Linked DNA regions of Elephas maximus indicus. The protein of the gene in region 1 purifies or fractionates together with the protein of each later gene. This does not show direct contact. Links are inferred from orthologs where the notes say so. Each region holds a gene or a part of one and is shown in the gene's direction. Other genes may lie near its edges.

Region 1 (5,952 bases):
CCTCAAAACTCCCTCAAATAGCTTTAAACCCACTGAGATGACAAATAAGCACAATTTTAAAACCAACACAGTTGTAGGTTCTGATAAGTGCTACTAAGATAATAAAACAGGTTGATATGATTAAGGAAGTGCTACTGTCAATAGGGTGGTCTGGAAAGGTTCCTCGAAGAAAGACATTTGAGCTGAAACATAAATGATGGGAATGAGACAGTCACGCAATTATCTGGGGGCAGCACATTCCAGGCAGAGGAAACAGCAAGTGCAAAGCCCTGAGGCAGGAATAAGCTTGGTGAATTAAAAGAACAGCAATAAAGCCAGCATGGCTTGAGAATGGTGGCAAAAAGGGAAGTGGTAGATTAGGTCCCAGAGGTCAGCTAAGGCCACCATGCAGGGCCTCCTAAGGAACTTCGGCAACCTTCCTAAGCCATAGTGAAGACTTTAGGATTCATCCTAGGTATGATGAGCCTTTGAAGAGTTTAAGCAGGGGAATGACATGATCTGATTTATATTTGAAGATCACTCGGACGGCTGTATGGAGAACTCGTCACAGACAGGACCATTTTCTCTACTAGCACCACAGACAGAAAATGCTTGTGGCCGCTGAGCTTTTCAGGAGCTATGAAAACAATGGGGTGGGGATAAAGGGGGAAAAACTTCCACAGAGAAAAAACAAAACTGCAAAGTTGAAATCAATAAATGTTTAACTAAATGTTTATTTAGAAAACTTAACATCATAGCAACTTCATGCATTGATAATTTAGTATTTGCAAAAAATCAATCACACTTGGAAATCATTTGGAAATTAGATTCTTCTCAAGTCACAGAAATTCCCAAGTATGCCCAGCATTTGCCAGATCAAGCCAATTATAAATGTCAATTTTCTTGCAGGCAAGTAATATCAAAAGAAAAAAATAACTTCCCATTTTTTTTAATGGAAAAAAATTTTTTTTCTTAATGTATATACCAAAAAAAAAAAAAAATATATATGCCTCACACCATGAAGCCTTAAGATTCTGAGGAGAACCCAGAGGTGGCCAGGTAAGAGATGCTGGAGGCTTAGATCAGTGCTGTTAAGGTTTATAGAGTAGCAGAGGCTTACATCCCATCCTAGATGGCCCAGAATACCAAAGGAGTAAGTTTGAACACTGTCCAGGGGACCATTGGAAAGGCTTCTCTGAGGAAAGCGCATTTGAAGCAAGAAGCCTGAGTGAAAAGGCACTAGCTGGGCCAAGAGTTGGGAAAAGAGGTTCCAGGCAGGGGCTCTGAGCTATCAGTTTTTTAAGCAACAAAAAAGGGGTCTGTTTGGCTGGACTGAAGCTGGAGATGAGTAGGTAATAGGAAACAAAGCATGTAGGGTCTTGATAACAATGTTCTCAGTCCAGAACTGTAGAAAACCACTCCCGTTTCAAGCAGGGGCGTGACCTGATCCAACTGTTTTAGGTTTGCACTATCCAATAGTACAGGAGTCTTTTTCCACAGGTGGCAAATTCAACTGCAAACTGAACTTTCAATTTTATTTAATTTAAAAATTAAAACTCCGAAATACAATTCAGCTAATGGAAAACTTTTACGCATGTTTGGAACAACTTCGACACACGAATCTACTTCTCCAACTGTAAACTGTATGAAACCTAAAGGCAGAATAACTATTTCCGATGAAAATTTAGGGTCCCAGTTACAGATGTGCTGTACCTGTGAAACACACACAGGCTGTCAAAGCCTTAGTACTGAGTAAAAATACGTAAGTTATCTCCTTCGTATTTTTATAATCATATGTGGCAGTAATATTTTGGCTATATGGGATTAGACTTGACACGTTATTAAAATTAATTTCACTTTTTTTCTATTTTTTTAATGTGGATACTAGAAAATGTAAAATTAGGTATGTGGCTTGCGTTACTTTTCCACTGGACAATACTGGTCGCCGAGACAGAGTGGTTGCAGAAGTTCTTGGGTGCTCCAGGCAGGAGGCGTCGGTGGTCCAGACCACGGATGGAGGTGAAGTTTCTGCAAGTATTGTGGAGTCACGAGTCATGTCAGTGAATTTTCACAGCCCGTTTAATGGACGAGGAAATGGGAGTGGCAGAGCTCGGACTCGAACCCACGTCTATCAGACGCTTCGCGCTTGAGGGGTATTATCTACTTGAAACCTCCCAGCGGCCCTCGAGATGCCGACAGTGGGATTCGAACCAGGCCCCAGTCCTGAAGCCAGGCCAAGCGTAGCGCGTTACTGCCACTCCGTCTCCCCACGGCTGAGCCCAACGTTCACAACGTTCATAACGGACTCCCTGGCCGCCTGACCTGAGTAGCCAGGAACTCCTGAGTGACGCTCCCGGTAACGCTCACCCGCTGACAGACGCCGAGGCCGCAAACGCTCTTTTCTCTTCAGACTCGACGCAGTCGCGCAGGCGCCCGACTCCCCCCACCCATTCCGCGAATCCCAGTTGTGCTAGCTCTCCTCCAGCCCCCGCGGTCAACTCAGCCAATCGCCTATCACTAAACCTGCTTTATTCCCACCCACTCCCGCCCGCCAATCACCGCTGACGCAAGCACCGCCCTTCCCGCCCTCTTCAGCGTGCGCCGCGCGCCCCCGTTCGGCCGTTGGCGGCGCTGCCCCGTGGGATGCGTGCCCCGGAAGGGCGGGGCGAAGCGCGCGCCACGCTGGTGCGGGAACCCTTGGGATTGGCCAGGAGGAGGCCCTGCTCTTTCTCCGCCCACTCTCGCCCTCTGCATCCGAGTCGGAGACACTGGGGATTGGCTCCCAGGTGGGGATGGGGGCCCAAAGAAGCATGGAGACGTTCCCGTCCCTCTCGCGCTCACCGGGGAGGGAGCACCCCTGATTGGTCCGGGAGTCTCGGCGCGCGCCCGCCGGCGCTCCAGGATTGGCTGAAGACGGGCTCGCGCCGCCGGGGAGCGTTGGCGGTGATTGGCCGGGGGGTGGGGTGGCTATTTGAAGGCGGCGCGCGGACGAGGTGCGCATTTCAGTCCGCGTAGAGAGGAGTCGGGAGCGGCTCTTGGAACCCTGCCTCCTAACCCACCGGACGCAGGCCCTAGGTTGGCCCCGGCCCGGCCTCAGCCCTGGTACCAGCCCCGGCCCGGCGAGGCGATGGCCAAAGTATCGGTGCTGAACGTGGCGGTGCTGGAGAACCCGACCCCTTTCCACAGCCCCTTCCGGTTCGAGATCAGCTTCGAGTGCAATGAGGCCTTGGCGGACGGTGAGGCTGGGCCTGTGTGGAGACACCTCCCCCCCTCCCCCCACGGCCAACCCCGACTTACCCTCGAGACATTCCCACGGTCAACCCCGACCTCCTCGTGGAGACACCTCTCAGCCCCCATCAACCTCGACCTCCCCATGGAGACCACCCCAATGCCAACCCTAATCTCCCCGAGATCCTCCTGACACAACCAACCCTGACTTCCGGTGGCCAACTCGGACCTCCCTGTGAAAACACCCTCCCATCCCGTCAACCTCTACCTCCCCATGGAAACCCCCTAGTGTCAAACCTAATCTCCCCCTGAGGCCCCCCAGTGCCAACCCTAACCTCCCCCGTGACCCCCCCAGTGCCAATCCTGACCTGCCCCTGAGACTCCCCACACACAGCCAACCCTGACCACCCCGTGGAGACCCCTCCTTCCATGGCCAACCCCACTCTCCCACTTTCCTGTGGAAACATCATCCCTTTTTTTTTTTTTTTTTTTGGTAGAGCTCCTCCCAGCTACCCGTTTAAGTAGGGACCTTCTCAGCCTCCATTCTTCCCTATGGCAAGACGCATTCCAAGTGACCCTCCGTTTCTGGAAGGCCAGACCCCCCCTTCCAGCCACCCAATGGGATGAGGCTGCCACTCATCCCCACTCCCCTGTGGCCAGACACTCCCAACTCATTTTTATCCTGTAGAGACCTCAGCCACCTGTCATTTTTTCTGTGGAGACCTCTCCTCCAAACACCCCTTCTTTTTCCCTGTGGAGACCTCCCCCTAAAGTCACCTTCCTTTTTCCCTGTTAAGACTTTCCTGTCACATGATCTTACTCCATCTCCCCTAACAATCCCCTCCCCAACTTGCTTATATTTAAACATCTTTCCCACCTTGCCTCCCAACTTCTGCTTGCTCTCCACCCCAAAGCATACACTCTAGAACTTGGCTTTTCTCCTCCTCAGTCTGATCCCCTACACTTGAGCTCCATCTAGGGAGGGATGGCCTGGCTTCTCCCTCTAGACTTGGAGGGTAACTTGGTCCTCCCAAGTTCCTGTTTCTCCCTCCTCTCTGCTAATCAGCTTGGATAAACACCTGCCAATCTGAGGGGTGGTGTAGCCAGGCAAGTGTGAGCCAGTTCCCAGGGTTTGCCCACCAGGTTCCAGCTGACTTACTGCAGCAATTCTTCCAATGCGTTTGATGGTTTGACCTAGTCTGAGGAGTGGGTGGGACAGGCTGAGCTGAGACAGCATCTGGCTTCAAATAATCAGCTAGGAGGTCACAACCTTTTGTGCATCTTTTCCAAGGTGCTTTCATGAATGTACTTACAAGTCTGTGTGACATAAAGGAGGTAGACATGGCTCTCATCTCAGATGAGAAAGCAGGCACCACAAAGAGTAAAAGACCTTTCAAGAAGAGGTCTATAAAAATCTAAAACTAAATGGCTAAGGTCACCCAGGGAGCTTTGGCACAGCTGACAGGCAAGTCCTGCTTTCAGGAGGAAGTAATCAGCTAGACCACCTCTCCACTTGGCCATTAAAGGAGAAGGGGCAGCAACTGAGGTGAGGCTGGCGCGCTAACTAGCGCCTCTCAGTGGCAGATGTGTGGTTTGCTCACAGAGCCTGCTGCTTGGATTGCTTGCGGCTGATACAGTTTGAAGGATGTGTGGCCTACAGGTGAGCCAGTGGTCACTCTCCCCCTGTGTCTCACACTCTTTTTTTAAATTAAGGAGTCCATTTGTGACTAAGTATAGAGTAAGCCAAGTTAAATCCTTGCTAGAACAAGTCTGGGTGTAAATAAATAAATAAAGTGTAGAATGACACTGTGGAATAAGATTTAATTTTAAAGCCAGGAAGAGATGTAAGGAGCTAATAGGTTAAGGGATTCACAGTTCCCAGATGGCAGGAGATCAGGTTGCAATCAGCCTGTTTGTACTTCTTGAATTAAAAATGGTTGCATGGCCATTATTTAGTACTATTATTCCTGGAAGTCCGTGCCCGGTGACTTTAGTAATTTGTTTATAGTATTGGGACAGGAAAGGTTAAAGTTAGCCTGCAGTGTTTTCCTTTTTAATAGAGGGAAGTGGAGTGACTTCTCCAAGGTCACACAGCCAGTTTATAGAAATGTTGGGATGAAAACTTGTTGCTGAGGTCTGAGTCTGGTTTCATTGTCTTTGCTCTTATCCTAGTAGGCGAAAGAAAGAAAGCATTTCCTACTTTAGAGGCGGAGTTTAAATAGGAAACCAAAAAAACCCATTGCTGTGGAGTTGATTCCAACTCAAAGCTACCCTATAGGACAGAGTAAGACTGTCCCACAGAGTTTTCAAGGCTGTAAATCTTTAACCGAAGTAGACTGCCCCTTCTTCCTCCCGTGGAGCAAGCTGGTGGTTTCCAACCATAGACCTTTTGGTTAGCAGCTGAGCTCTTAGCTACTGTGCCACCAGGGCTGCTTATAAATAGGAGGGACCATACAATTTATTGCCAAATCAGGACATTCAAAAGAGAGTAAAAGGGGCGCTATTCTTAATTATGCCAGATAGTAGAGCTTTTGCTCAGAGAAACTCAAGTTGGGAATCAAACCCTGGCCTGGGAATCCAGACTCTATGGTTCTACCTCCTATGGCTGTTGGTGACTCTGACATGCCAGCTTGCTTTCTGCCTCTTCCTGGCCTTCTTCCCACAAAGCAGAATCCGTTTCCTGCCTTCCAAACAGATGGAGTGGGGCTGCCTTAAAAGTCTCTCTGGTCCTGGAGAAACCTCAGT
Region 2 (5,952 bases), on another chromosome or scaffold:
TTTGCTACTTTGATGTCTTTTTGAGGCCTTTAGATACCAAACAAAATAGGCAAGCCATTGAGGTTGTTTAATGTGGGAGCCCTTACTTTCTAATTTACTGTACAAACTAATTTACAAAATTCAAAAAGGTTCCAAAGTGGCCAGTGATTTTCCAAATTGTCCCTGTAAAGGTTATGCACACTAGACAAAAACACAAATCTTGATGGACCAAAATGTTTGTTCATAAAAAGCATAAAATAGTGGGAGTCCCAGAGTGTGGCTCCAAGCTGCTCTTTGATCTGACATGCCCTGTTTTCCTAGTCAGACAGACAAATGTACACATAAAAGATGATTAATCAAACATAGGTTGTTACTTTTGGTTTTTCAAAGTCAAACAAAATCCTATTGGGGATGCTGCCTGGGGGTTTGGACAGTGTCATGTTTCACCAAGTATCTACACTGTATGAGAACTGTCTTAAGGCTGGTGGGCAGCCAAATGTTTCTGGCCTATCTCACAACCAAGCTTATCCTATGGGTATCTTTCAGTTGGTGGGGAGCACCCTGAAGACTTTTAAATGCTCAAACCCATGCCCTGGTATTTTGCAACTTGGGAGACTCTGAGATGCCTTGTCACAACCAAACCAAAACCTGGGATAGCACAGACCTAAAATCCAGGTTGATTAAAAGAGAAAGTAAAAACAAATCCTTGAATAAAACTCAGAGAGCTGCTACGCAAAAGCTCAGAGCTCAGATCCAAGCAGCTATTTACCACAGAAACAGCCAAATGAGCCCAAAACCTCCACACCTTGAGGGTCACAAAAGGCAATGCACTGTCTGAATCCCCACTTCTGACACAGGAAATGCTGTAGCACAGTCTTTACTCTGTTAGGAGTGAAAGCAAAAAGTTTTATTGAGGAATAAAGCAGTTTGAACTGGCTGCACTAAGTGAAAATTACAAAGTGCCCAAACTCATTAAAAAAGGTGTAAGCCTTTTATACAGTCAAGTGGGAAAGGTAGTAGTGACTATAGCCTCAAGGTGTGTGCATGATCACAGTCTTAATATCAGTAATCCTGATATAAATATACATTCCTCCTGGAAGATGCTGTGCAAGCGTTCTTGACAAACACCTTCTGACTAGCATTTCCTGAACTTCCACAGACCACATTCTTGCCTTAAATTCCTTTAAAGTTTTACAAGGTTGTAAAATCCCAAGGGTAGAAGCAGAAATAGGAGTAAAGGGGAATTATTAGCTAAATGGAGCCTTTAAACAAAACGGAGTCTCTGGTGCTAAGCACTGTTCTTTTTACCAGTCTTCTTTTTGCTTCATTTTAGGCAGCATGGCTCACCTTCCACTGTAAGGCTCCCTGCTGAAAGCCTCAAGAAAGTAAAGTCTTACTAATGCAGTGTCAAATACTTAGCTCATTTTCCCCTATCAGCACCAACCAGAGTGCCAAACCCCACCCCCGGGTTTTATCCGGTGGTTTACAGCTTACTTCTTCCAACTAAGCAGCTCCAGCAGCAGGGTTGAGTCTTACTCATTTTTCTGTTCCATAGAGCCGTAATCCTACCACTCAATTAACATCAATGGGATGATTTCAATAACCGTCCGGGCAAACATGCAAACTTTTAACGTGCTCTAGAAATCCAACACTCCCAGTACACCGCCACACTGCGCAGGCACAATGGCAGACCTCTGTTTTCTCCAGAAGACCTTAGCATTTGGCGCCAAATCCCCGTTCCGTGGGCGGGGCTGAGGGAGAAGCGGCCGCTCATTGGGCAGGTTTGGCGCGAAATCTCCGAGCTCCCGCGCCACGATTGGCTCCAGTGGTCCCGGTCGGGCGAGGGGGCGGGGCGAAAGCGGCGGCGGCGCGCGCAAAGCGGCTGCGTCCGGGAAGAAGCTGCTCGTGGCGAGGAGTGTGGCGGCGGCTGCACCCCAGCCATAGGCGGCGATGGACCTCGTGGCGGCAGCCGAGCCGGCCGCGGGCTCCCAGCACCTGGAAGTCCGCGACGAGGTAGCCGAGAAGTGCCAGAAACTGTTCCTGGACTTCTTGGAGGAGTAAGTCGGCAGGCGCCCAGGCCCTGCCCGCGGCCGCTGCTCCCAGCCCCGGTGGGCGCCCTTCCTCGCGGCACTTCCCCGCGCGGCCCCTTCCGCTTGCTGAGCCGGGTCGCCTGGAGCGCGCGGCTCCCGGGTCCCCGTGCTCGGGCGGTTCCGTGCGGCCGGCGCTTTTCGGACACGGAGGGATTGCGCCGCTTGGAAGGGGGGAGGTCCCGCATCTCTTTTTGAGTCCCCCAGGCCGAGCGCCGGCGAGGAGCTTGAAAGGGCTGGGCTGGCTTCAGAGATGAAACTCGTCTCTCGTTGTGCCCGGTGCCCTGAGCCGAGCGCTCTGCTTGCGTCACTTAGTCCTCACAACAGGCCGCTCACAGCCTCCTTGTTCCCGATGGGAAACCGAGGCTAGGTGAGGTTAAGCAGCTTGTCCCGGTAGGCACGGCGGGGTTGATTGAGAAGCAAACAAGCGTTTGAATCCTGGCCGAGCCCTGAGAGGGCAGACGGCCCAGAGGTTAGTGTTGGGGACACCGCGTCCCCGGCCTGCGTTGGAGCCGGTGGAGTTGAAACTATCAGCGTCAGCGCTGTGGGTCCCTCTGATGTGAGGCAGAGTTTTCGGGGTGGGAATGGGGTGAGCCTGACCCTTCATTAAATTAGCTGATTACATCCCTCGATCTGGCTGGCCGGCTGGCTGGCTTCCTCTCTGCCTTGTTTCCTTCGTTCCTCCCCCTTTTTCCTCTTTCCCGGTAGCTTCCTGGGTCCTGGCCCCCCATAACTCCTCCTTGGCTTCTCCCTACGGTTACTAGTGATCACTCTTAGGGCAGATCTATCACTACTCTCCCTAGTAGCATCAACTCTGCAGACTCCAGGATGAAGTGTAAATACTTTGGAATGTCTTAAAAAGTTCTTACATACTTAAAACTATAATTTACATTTCCCTACCTTTGGTTATGTTATTCTCTGCCTGACAGCTTCTTATCTTTCAAAGCCCAGCTAAAGAATCACACCGCCTTTGTGAAGCCCTTGTAACTAACCCCTTTTCTAACGTTCTTCTCAGGGTGCCATTTGCCACATAGCTCTATTAATATGCATTTATTTGGAAACCCTGGTGGTGTAGTGGTTAAGAGCTACAGCTACTAACCAAAAGGTCGGCAGTTCATATCTACCAGGCGCTCCTTGGAAACTGTATGGGGCAGTTCCACTCTGTCCTGTAGGGTCCCTATGAGTCAGAATTGACTCGACAGCAATGGGTAAGTAAGGTAAGCTGGGTGTACCTTTATTTACCTGTCAGTCACTGAGCTTGAATGCAAATCCCATCCTCAACCCCACCTAGCAAACCACATCATAAAGATCATCCATAATTATTTGTTTCAAGGAATAATTTAAGTGCCTTCACTTTATTATATTGTTAGATGATGATGAAGATGACAAATAATCCCTGTACATTGTTGAGAAAAAAATGTTAACTTCCTTTTCAAAACTTAACTTTGATTCTGCGTCACTTGTGGAATAAAGTCCGAATTCTTCGCAGCCCCTCTATCCAGGATCATCTTCCACAACCAGCATCAGTCATCACCCACACTTCTCCCATACCCTCTGTGACCTTGCCTCATGTTTGCAAACATCTGTAGCCAATCCGCTAGAGCTCTGTTGGCACCATGGTTAAAAGCATGGTTGCTAACCGAAAAGGTCAGCTGTTCCTTGGAAACCCTGCAGGACAGTTCTACTCTGTCCTAGAGAGGGTCACTGTGAGTCGGAATCGACTCCACGGCAAGTTTTTCTGGGGGGAGGGAGGGCTAAGGGGGGGCCTGTAGCCAACCCACCATTCTTATTTTTCTTTCAAAATTTTAACATCTTTCAAGGTGGAATTCTAGTGTCATGTTTATGTGTATGAAGCCTTTCTAGATGTTCCTGTTAGGCAGAATTAGCTTATATTAACAGGGCCACATCTCTTGTGTCTTTCTTTAGTAGGAACATCCTTCTTCCCTTCCTTGGTTATTTACATGTATGTCTCCTGCGAGCATTAACCCTAGAGCGGAACAGTTTCATTTTCAGGTTCAGGGAGCTCTGTCAGGTGTTTTGCACGTAGATATTAGTTCAATAAATATTTAAGAGTTACAACATACTGTTGTCCAAGGAGGGATTGATACTAATCTGCATATTGTGTTTAAAAGAATGTAATACACCCTTTGAGGAAAAAATTCACCAGGTTTTTTGCATGTGAATGTGTTTTCATTTCCCTGCAGTCGTGGACAATAAAGCACTTCATTTCTGTGTTTTTATTTTTATTCAGACACTTAGATCAATTAATCTGTTGGTTTTCAAATTCCCTAGGAAAATTGGATCTTTGGGTTTTAGCCTGAATTTCTTGATTAAACATTATGTATCACGATAGTAATAGTTACCAATTGAACACATTAGTTGATTGGAAATATTCCATTCAAGAAATTCAGGTTAAAGCCCAAGGACCTTTTCTTGTGTTCCAGCACTGTGCAAAAGACTACATATAATCATAGTGGTCTTATGACATGAGGTGATGTGCCCTCATCTGTAAAAAAAAAAAAAGAAGAAGAAGAGTATCCGGGATATCTAGGTCAATTGGCATAACAAAATTTATTAAGAAAATGTTCTGCATCCCACTTTGGTGAGTGGCATCTGGGGTCTTAAAAGCTGTCAGGCAGCCATCTAAGATGCATCAGTTGGTCCCAACCCACCTGGAACAAAGGAGAATGAAGCACACCAAAGACACAAGAAAAATATTAGCACAAAAGACAAAAGGCGCCATGTAAACCTTAGACTGGAAGAACTAGATGGTGCCTGGCTACCACCAATGACCGCCTTGGGTCACAACAGGGAACACAACAGAGAGTCCCTGATGGAGCAGGAGAAAAGTGGGGTGCAGAACTCAAATTCTAGTAACAAGACCAGACTTGATGGTCTGACGAAAACTGGAGAAACCCCAGAAGACATGGCCCCTGGGCTCTCTCTTAACCTAGAACTAAACCCATTGCTGAAGCCAACTCTTCAGACAAAGAATAGACTGAACTATAAGACATAAAATGATACTCATGAAGAGTGTGCTTCTCAGTTCAAGTAGGTACATGAGACTAAATGGGCAGCACCTGCCCGGAGGTGAGATGAGAAGGCAGAAAGGGACAGGAGCTGGTGGAGTGGACACAGGAAATCCAGGTTAGAAGGGATGAATGTGCAGTCATGTTATAGGGAGAGCAACTAGGGTCACAACAATGTGTGTATAAATTTTTGTATGAGAAACTAACTTGAGCTATAAACTTTCACCTAAACCACAATTTTAAAAAAGGAATAAATTAAAAAAGCAGGGGCTGGGTCAGGTGTAAGTTACTTGCTCTGAGTTACAGATCTCCTGAGCCTGGGCCTGCTGACTCTGAAGCCTACAGTCTTACCAATATGTTGAACTGTCAACATCCAGATTGTTCTTTGACTGCCCCTAGTTCTTCAGTTTAATCTGACTGGCACGTACCCCCAGGTTCCAGAGCAGTGATGGAGAAGGCAAGTACTTGCAGCTGGCAGAAGAGCTGATCCGCCCTGAGAGAAACACACTGGTGGTGAGTTTCCTGGACCTGGAACAATTCAACCAGCAACTTTCCACCACCATTCAGGAGGAGTTCTACAGGTACGGGTGCATTACTCTACCCTGCATAGGGCCAGAGGTCTGGGACTCTGGCTTCCCAGTGTTCACTGGTGAGACAGGAGGGCAGCTGTCATCGTTACTTCCCTGCTCAGAGCGGAGGCCCTTTGGTAACATCTGCCATTTTAGTACTGCTCTGAACTTAACCCAGGCCTTCCTGGAGCTGAATGTTTCTTACATGTGCATGTTGAAAACCGTTGTTTTCTACATAGCTTTCCCAAGTTGTGAGAGCATCACTTACTTTGTATCAGGTATTAAGTA
Region 3 (5,952 bases), on another chromosome or scaffold:
AAACAAAACAGAAGCTAGCATGTCAAGAAACTCCACTCATACTTCAGGTCCTTCTCCCCCAGAAACCAGTATTGTTATGTTACGTCCATTTAGCAAAATCTGATCTAATACAGTAATCTTTCTTCTTTCTGGTGTGATTTCAAAAGTCATCAAAACCTAGAAGTGTGCCAACAATTTATCACTCTTCATCACAATTTGAATTCTTGATCCTATACACTTGCCTACAAGTTCTTGTGGAAGCAGCTGCAACAGGTTAGTGGTACCATTAGCTGCCATGGCTACACTGGAAGTGGCCCCTCTCAGTAATTTTTAATGCATACCTACAAACAAATCAGGATCATAATTTATTTTTTCACTTAGTATAACATGAAACTTTTGCCATCTTTTTCAGTATTCTCTGAAGACATTATTTTAAACGATGGCGTGACATTCCATTTTCCGACTAAACCATGGTAATTAGCTCCCTATTGCTGCAGAGGCCTCTTTGTAGGTGCTATCTTAATTGTAAGCTATGAAAGGCAGAAATTGATCATTTAATTGTCCTTCCTAGCCAGCACTCACAAAAATATATCTAATTTGATGATGAATATGCATGATCCTCCATTTATAATAAAAGGAGCCAGTCAGCATAAATGTTACACGGCTAAGGGCTGATATAAAGGTAACCTGAAGCTTCGGAGAGAGGGATAGGATCCTATCTTTTTGTTCGGGCTCTGTATACTCTCGAGTTGAGCTCTGTATAGAGTCTTGGAATTGGCAGGAACTTTACAGATCTAGCCACTTTTCCAAAGATCAGGTAATTGAATTAAAGATTGTGACTAGTTTCTTAACTTCCTTCCAGCTCTATGCTCTTTTCACCACAATCTGCTAAGCTTATTCCTTTAAAAATACAGTAAGAGCATATACTTATCTACATGTTGTTATAGAAACTTTATACCCCCTTATAGTTAGAGTGCATATAATATGACATAAAAATCTAATGGTAAACTCGTGAGTATGTATCCAAGAGAAAGGAAGGCATATGTACACACAAAGACTTGTACATGAGTGTTAACAGCAGCACTATTTGTAAAAGCGAAAAATGGCCGTAACACAAAGGTTCATCAATATGTGACTGGATAAACAAAGTGTGTACATTCATACAAATGAATACCACTCAGCAATAAAAAGGAACGAACTATTGATAAATGCAACAATGTGATTGAATCTCAATTATGTCCAGTGAAAGAAGCTAGAGAAAAGAGTGCCTATACTCTGGTTCTATTTATTTAAAATTTTAGAAAATGCAAACTAATCTATAGTGACAGTGGTTGGGGATGGGGGGGAGTGGACGAGGAACCTCAGTAGAGAAAACTTTGGGGGTGATGGATATACTGATGATCTTGATTGTAGAGAGGGTTTCAAGGGTATATACATGTCAAAATTTATCAAATTGTACACCTTAAACACATGCAGTTTACTGCATGTCAATTATACCTCAATAAAGCTGTTTAATTTGTGAGATCTACCTCTTACATTTGAAAAGCAGAAGATGATTAAAAACCCACTGAAGTATCTCAAGCATAAAACTAAAATTACTTCTGGAGATAATTGACAACCAAGGTTCTATTCTAGTATGATGGTTTATCTGAACAAAACATTACTGTCAGAAATGCAAAGTCATAAAAATAAAAAATAGAAATGACATTTTTGTCCCCTGGTAATCATGCCATTTCCTCATGCCTGTACAATTGCTCTATATCATAATCTGTTTACTGTTCTATTCAACTTGGTTTTTTAAAGAATGCAATAACCTTGTTGTACTTTTCCTGAACTACCAGACTACTCTTTTATATACAAGATGTCCAATCCCTGGTGCATGTGTGGGTGTGTAGAAAGCTACACCGCGTCTATAAATTTTAGAAAATGCTGTAATTTGCTTTGAGATTTTCTAGTCAGAGCTGGGGGAAAAATAGAAACAAATTGGAACTTTCTAGAAACATGCCCTTTCTACACGATGAACACTGGGTAATTTTCCTAAATATGTGAATTCAGCGTTAAAAATTTTCTATTTAGATTTTCCACTTACGGTTTCAAAACAAAAAGAACTGCTATGCCACATGTACGGTCTACAATACCGGTAGTGATTTTCAATTCCTTTACTAAAGATTTTTTTTTTTTTTAAGAAAACATTCAGAAAGTTTATATCGCAACATCCCCCTCCCCAACTTATTTCCTCAGTTCTTTTATTCGGTAATTACTCCCATTCTGCAGAGTGGGAGACGCACACAGGTTTTTTGCACAGTACAGAAGAGCAAGACAGAAGCAACTTTCAACTTTTCAGTTCCATCTTGAAAAACGATGACTTCTAACCACGGAGAAGCGACAGTCGAGCAAGAGCAGAAGCATTCCTCCCCAGGCTGGGTGTGGGTCGGGAGCCAGGCGCGCTTCCGCGGGAGAGGGGGAGTCAGGTGGCAGGGGCGCGGGAGCCGGAGCTGCGCGGAGGGGGCGCGTGCGGGGCGCGCCTCCCTCCGGCCGGCGCGGGGAGGGCGGCCCGCGCACGCGAGTCCGTCGGCCCGGGGCTCCCGCGCTGCGATCCGCGGGCGCGCCGGGGGCGCCCCCTCGGCCGCGTCTCCTCCCTCGCGCGCTCGCTCCCTCCTCACACCCCCGCCCCCAGGCTCTGGCAGGTCCCTCCCCCATGCCTGCTCCGGCGGCCGCCGCCGCTACCGGAGGCGCAGGAGCCTCGCGATAGTGTTTGCACAGGCGGCGCGTGACGCCGCCGCCGCCGCCTCCTGTAACTGATGCAGAGGTTACCCTGCCGCCGCCGCCTCAGCCGCCACCCACCGTCCGCTGCCGCCGCCACCCAGGCGACGCCGGGGGCCGACGCACTGCAGAGGTGCCGGCAGGTTCCGCCCGCGGAAGTCTCCTCGGCCGGCGCTGCCCGCGCTCCGCCCGCGCTTCGACCCCAGCCCGGCGGGCGCCCCCTCGACGCCCTTACCGCGGCGCTCCTTCCCTCCGCCTCTTCTCCGGCGCGCCCGCCCGCTCCTTCTCTTCTCCCCCTTTTCCTCCTCCCAGTCCCCTCTCCTCCCCTCACCTCTTCCCTTTCCACCTCCCCCCTGCTCGGTTTCCTTCCCCCATCCCCTTGACTCTCCCCTCCCTGCCCTCACTCTCTCCCTCGCCCTCAGCGCGGCCCCCGCCATGACGGAGGCGGGTGCCGGTGCCGTTGCCACTGCTGCTGTCTCGGGGGCAGAGTCGGGTTCCCAGAAAGTAGCTTGATGAGTGTCCAAAGTAGCAGTGGAAGTTTGGAGGGGCCGCCATCTTGGTCCCAGCTCTCCACGTCTCCAACCCCGGGCTCGGCGGCGGCGGCCAGGTCCCTGCTGAATCACACGCCGCCATCCGGGAGGCCCAGGGAAGGTAAGCACCGCCGCGCCCGCTCGCGGGCCCCCTTCCCGCGCCACGGCCCCCGCGCCCTCGGGTCTCCTCTCCTCGACCCTGGGGTGGGGGATGGTGGCGAGGTGGCCGCGAGGCCGCCGGGCTCCGGGGAGGTAGTGCGCTGGCTGTGGGTGGTGGTTCACGGGTGGCGGAGGAGACGAGCGAGGGGGTGCGGGCTGGTGGGGACGGGGCGAGGCGCACAGACTCGTCTGGCTTCCTAAGAGCCCGTCGTGCGAGGGTGGGAAGCCTCCCTCCGGACGCGAGTCCCTTTCTGCCCCCTTTCCTAGTACACTCCATACGTTTAACCTCCTGGCCTCCTCTGTCTCTGGTGGGTTTTCCCTCCCGTTGGAGCATTCATCCTCGCGAGCCCCCTCCCATTCGCCCTCGCACTCCTCCCACAGAGGCGGTCCCGTGGCTCCGCAAGCTTTGCTGCCCGGGACCTGGATGCACTTCGTTTGCAGGGTCTCTTCTCTTTAGGGAGAGACGCTGAAATTATTGTCTAGGCAGACTTTGATCCCCTGCCCTAGAGCAATTTAAACGACAGTGTGACTCGTGGGCAGGTTCTTAAATCACCCCTCCAGATGGTTGCAACTTTCTCTCCTTCGCCATCACCTTCTGCGTGTTTGTGCGTTCTCTCTCTTCTGCAAGTAGACTACTGTTCTTCTCTGACAGGGTCGTGGGTTTTGTGGGAAATATCTGCGTAAAGGTTACTGCAAACACGCACCAGATCGGTTACGATTGTTTTCTAAGTTTTCTGGCTTCTTGCATGAAAGTGTGCTGCCACCAGATGTAGCAGTTACACAGCTAGTAAGACACCGGAGTGCTTTTGGCTAAAATTTCAACTTGCTGTGTTTAACTTTAAGTATACGACACAAAATGAAATTCAGGAGAACGCTCATTTATGGGGGAAGAGTAAATGTGCATGGAATCGCGTTTAACGCTCTTTGTCTGGAAAATGTTTAGCGGTATTCATCAGCAGTTGGTAAACGGGTTGTTCAGTCCCAGTTGTCTCATGCAAGATTGTAGCCACATTTTCACAAGAAGAAAAAAAAAAAAAACGTGTGGAAGTCAGTCTAATGGATCTTTTAAAGAAAGCAGGAGCATCAATTTATGTAGAAATCGATGGGTTTAATTTATTTTGAAAATATCACTCAATATTTATTACTCATAGCCTTGACAGTTGTTAATCTAGTGTTTTGTGCCCTGAATCCAGCGGTTCAGGCGTAGCATTCTTTGTCATTTTGTTCCTGTGAGCATGTGTGAAAGTGACAATAGGCTCAAAGATTGGCATGAATTTGCTCTAGAAAATTCGTGGGAAGGTTTGATTTATGGCATCCATTAAACATGCTGAATATATTGACAGACATTTTTCCCTTTCATTTTGCTCTCAACACTGAGTTCTGGTTATTAATAAAAGTTTATTTATTGACTCACTCAAATTTAGTATCTGGTGATCTTTGTGCACTTGAAAAATTTTAAATGAATATTTTAAAAGGTATTTTGTAAACGGAACAGTTGGGTGCTTTTAGCATGCTTTTACTTCGTAATTTCATTAAGGTGCTTACTGGTAGTGTTGTGAGTTGAGAAAGACCATTTTATTTTATTTTTTAAAGGTGTTTTATCATTCATTCCTCAATTGTTGAGCCATTATTGTAAGCCAGTCCCTGTACTAGATACTGAGGGTATATGATTATGTCTGTTATTGTCTGTTGTTCATCTGTTGACATTGGTTATCAGTGTTAGTAATTTGGGGGCCACGAAATCTAGATTGAGTTTCTGAAGTTACTTCAACTCTAGTTAAAAATTTCTTTATCTGTACTATTCTGCACTTTTCCTGATATTTGAAAGTTTTGAAGGGTTAGAATAATTAACCTGGACTTTGAAATAACCAGAATTTTCCAGCAGTTTAGATTACCGTAGATTTTTGTGTAACCTAAAATAGGGAATCTGTTAATTAATACGAAAGTAGGATGTGTTTTGTGAAAGTTATATTTCATATCAAGTCCCTGCGTGTGGTCTCTCTCTGACCAACCAGCATGTAGATTAAAAACTGAGTTAACCAGTTGCTATCAAAATCAGTTCGAACTCAGGGCAACCCCACGTGTGTCTGAATAGAACCTGTGCTCCATAGGGTTTTCAGTGGCTGATTTTTCAGAAATAGATTGCCAGGCCTTTCTTCTGAGGCACCTCTGGGTAGACTCCAACCTCTCTGAAACCAGTTGCTATCAAGTCAGTTTCAACTCATGGCCACCCCATGTGTGTCAGTGTAGAACTGTGCTCCATAGGGTTTTCAATGGCTGACTTTTTAGAAGTCGATCACCAGGCTTTTCTTCTGAGACACTTTTGAGTGGACTCAAATCGCCAACCTTTTGGTTAGCAGGAGAGTACTTCAGTCATTTGCACCACCTAGGGACTCCCAACCCTCTTTCGGGATATATTTCTCTTAGAGCTTGAGTTATATCCTCAAGTTTCACTAATGTTAACAGGAACATTGTCCTATCAAAATGGAGATATCCTCTATAGAGTAGAATCCGAGTTTAT

Evidence for each region.
Region 2: the proteins of ASF1B (region 1) and MCM6 purify together in Homo sapiens (affinity purification with mass spectrometry; 4 studies listed by BioGRID and IntAct, counting the BioPlex papers as one, with this or other methods). This does not show direct contact. The link is inferred for Elephas maximus indicus from reciprocal best matches to the Homo sapiens genes ASF1B and MCM6.
Region 3: the proteins of ASF1B (region 1) and TLK1 purify together in Homo sapiens (co-immunoprecipitation; 3 studies listed by BioGRID and IntAct, counting the BioPlex papers as one, with this or other methods). This does not show direct contact. The link is inferred for Elephas maximus indicus from reciprocal best matches to the Homo sapiens genes ASF1B and TLK1.

The regions. Positions count from the first base shown.
Region 1 is NC_064821.1:32,773,337-32,779,288, reverse strand, and holds the start of ASF1B (histone chaperone ASF1B), read left to right. Parts: upstream 1-2,925; 5' UTR 2,926-3,106; coding exon 3,107-3,215; intron 3,216-5,952. UniProt on the Homo sapiens protein: Histone chaperone that facilitates histone deposition and histone exchange and removal during nucleosome assembly and disassembly. Cooperates with chromatin assembly factor 1 (CAF-1) to promote replication-dependent chromatin assembly.
Region 2 is NC_064824.1:30,991,452-30,997,403, reverse strand, and holds the start of MCM6 (DNA replication licensing factor MCM6), read left to right. Parts: upstream 1-1,850; 5' UTR 1,851-1,929; coding exon 1,930-2,036; intron 2,037-5,529; coding exon 5,530-5,676; intron 5,677-5,952. UniProt on the Homo sapiens protein: Acts as a component of the MCM2-7 complex (MCM complex) which is the replicative helicase essential for 'once per cell cycle' DNA replication initiation and elongation in eukaryotic cells.
Region 3 is NC_064824.1:69,384,900-69,390,851, reverse strand, and holds the start of TLK1 (serine/threonine-protein kinase tousled-like 1), read left to right. Parts: upstream 1-2,854; 5' UTR 2,855-3,254; coding exon 3,255-3,393; intron 3,394-5,952. UniProt on the Homo sapiens protein: Rapidly and transiently inhibited by phosphorylation following the generation of DNA double-stranded breaks during S-phase. This is cell cycle checkpoint and ATM-pathway dependent and appears to regulate processes involved in chromatin assembly.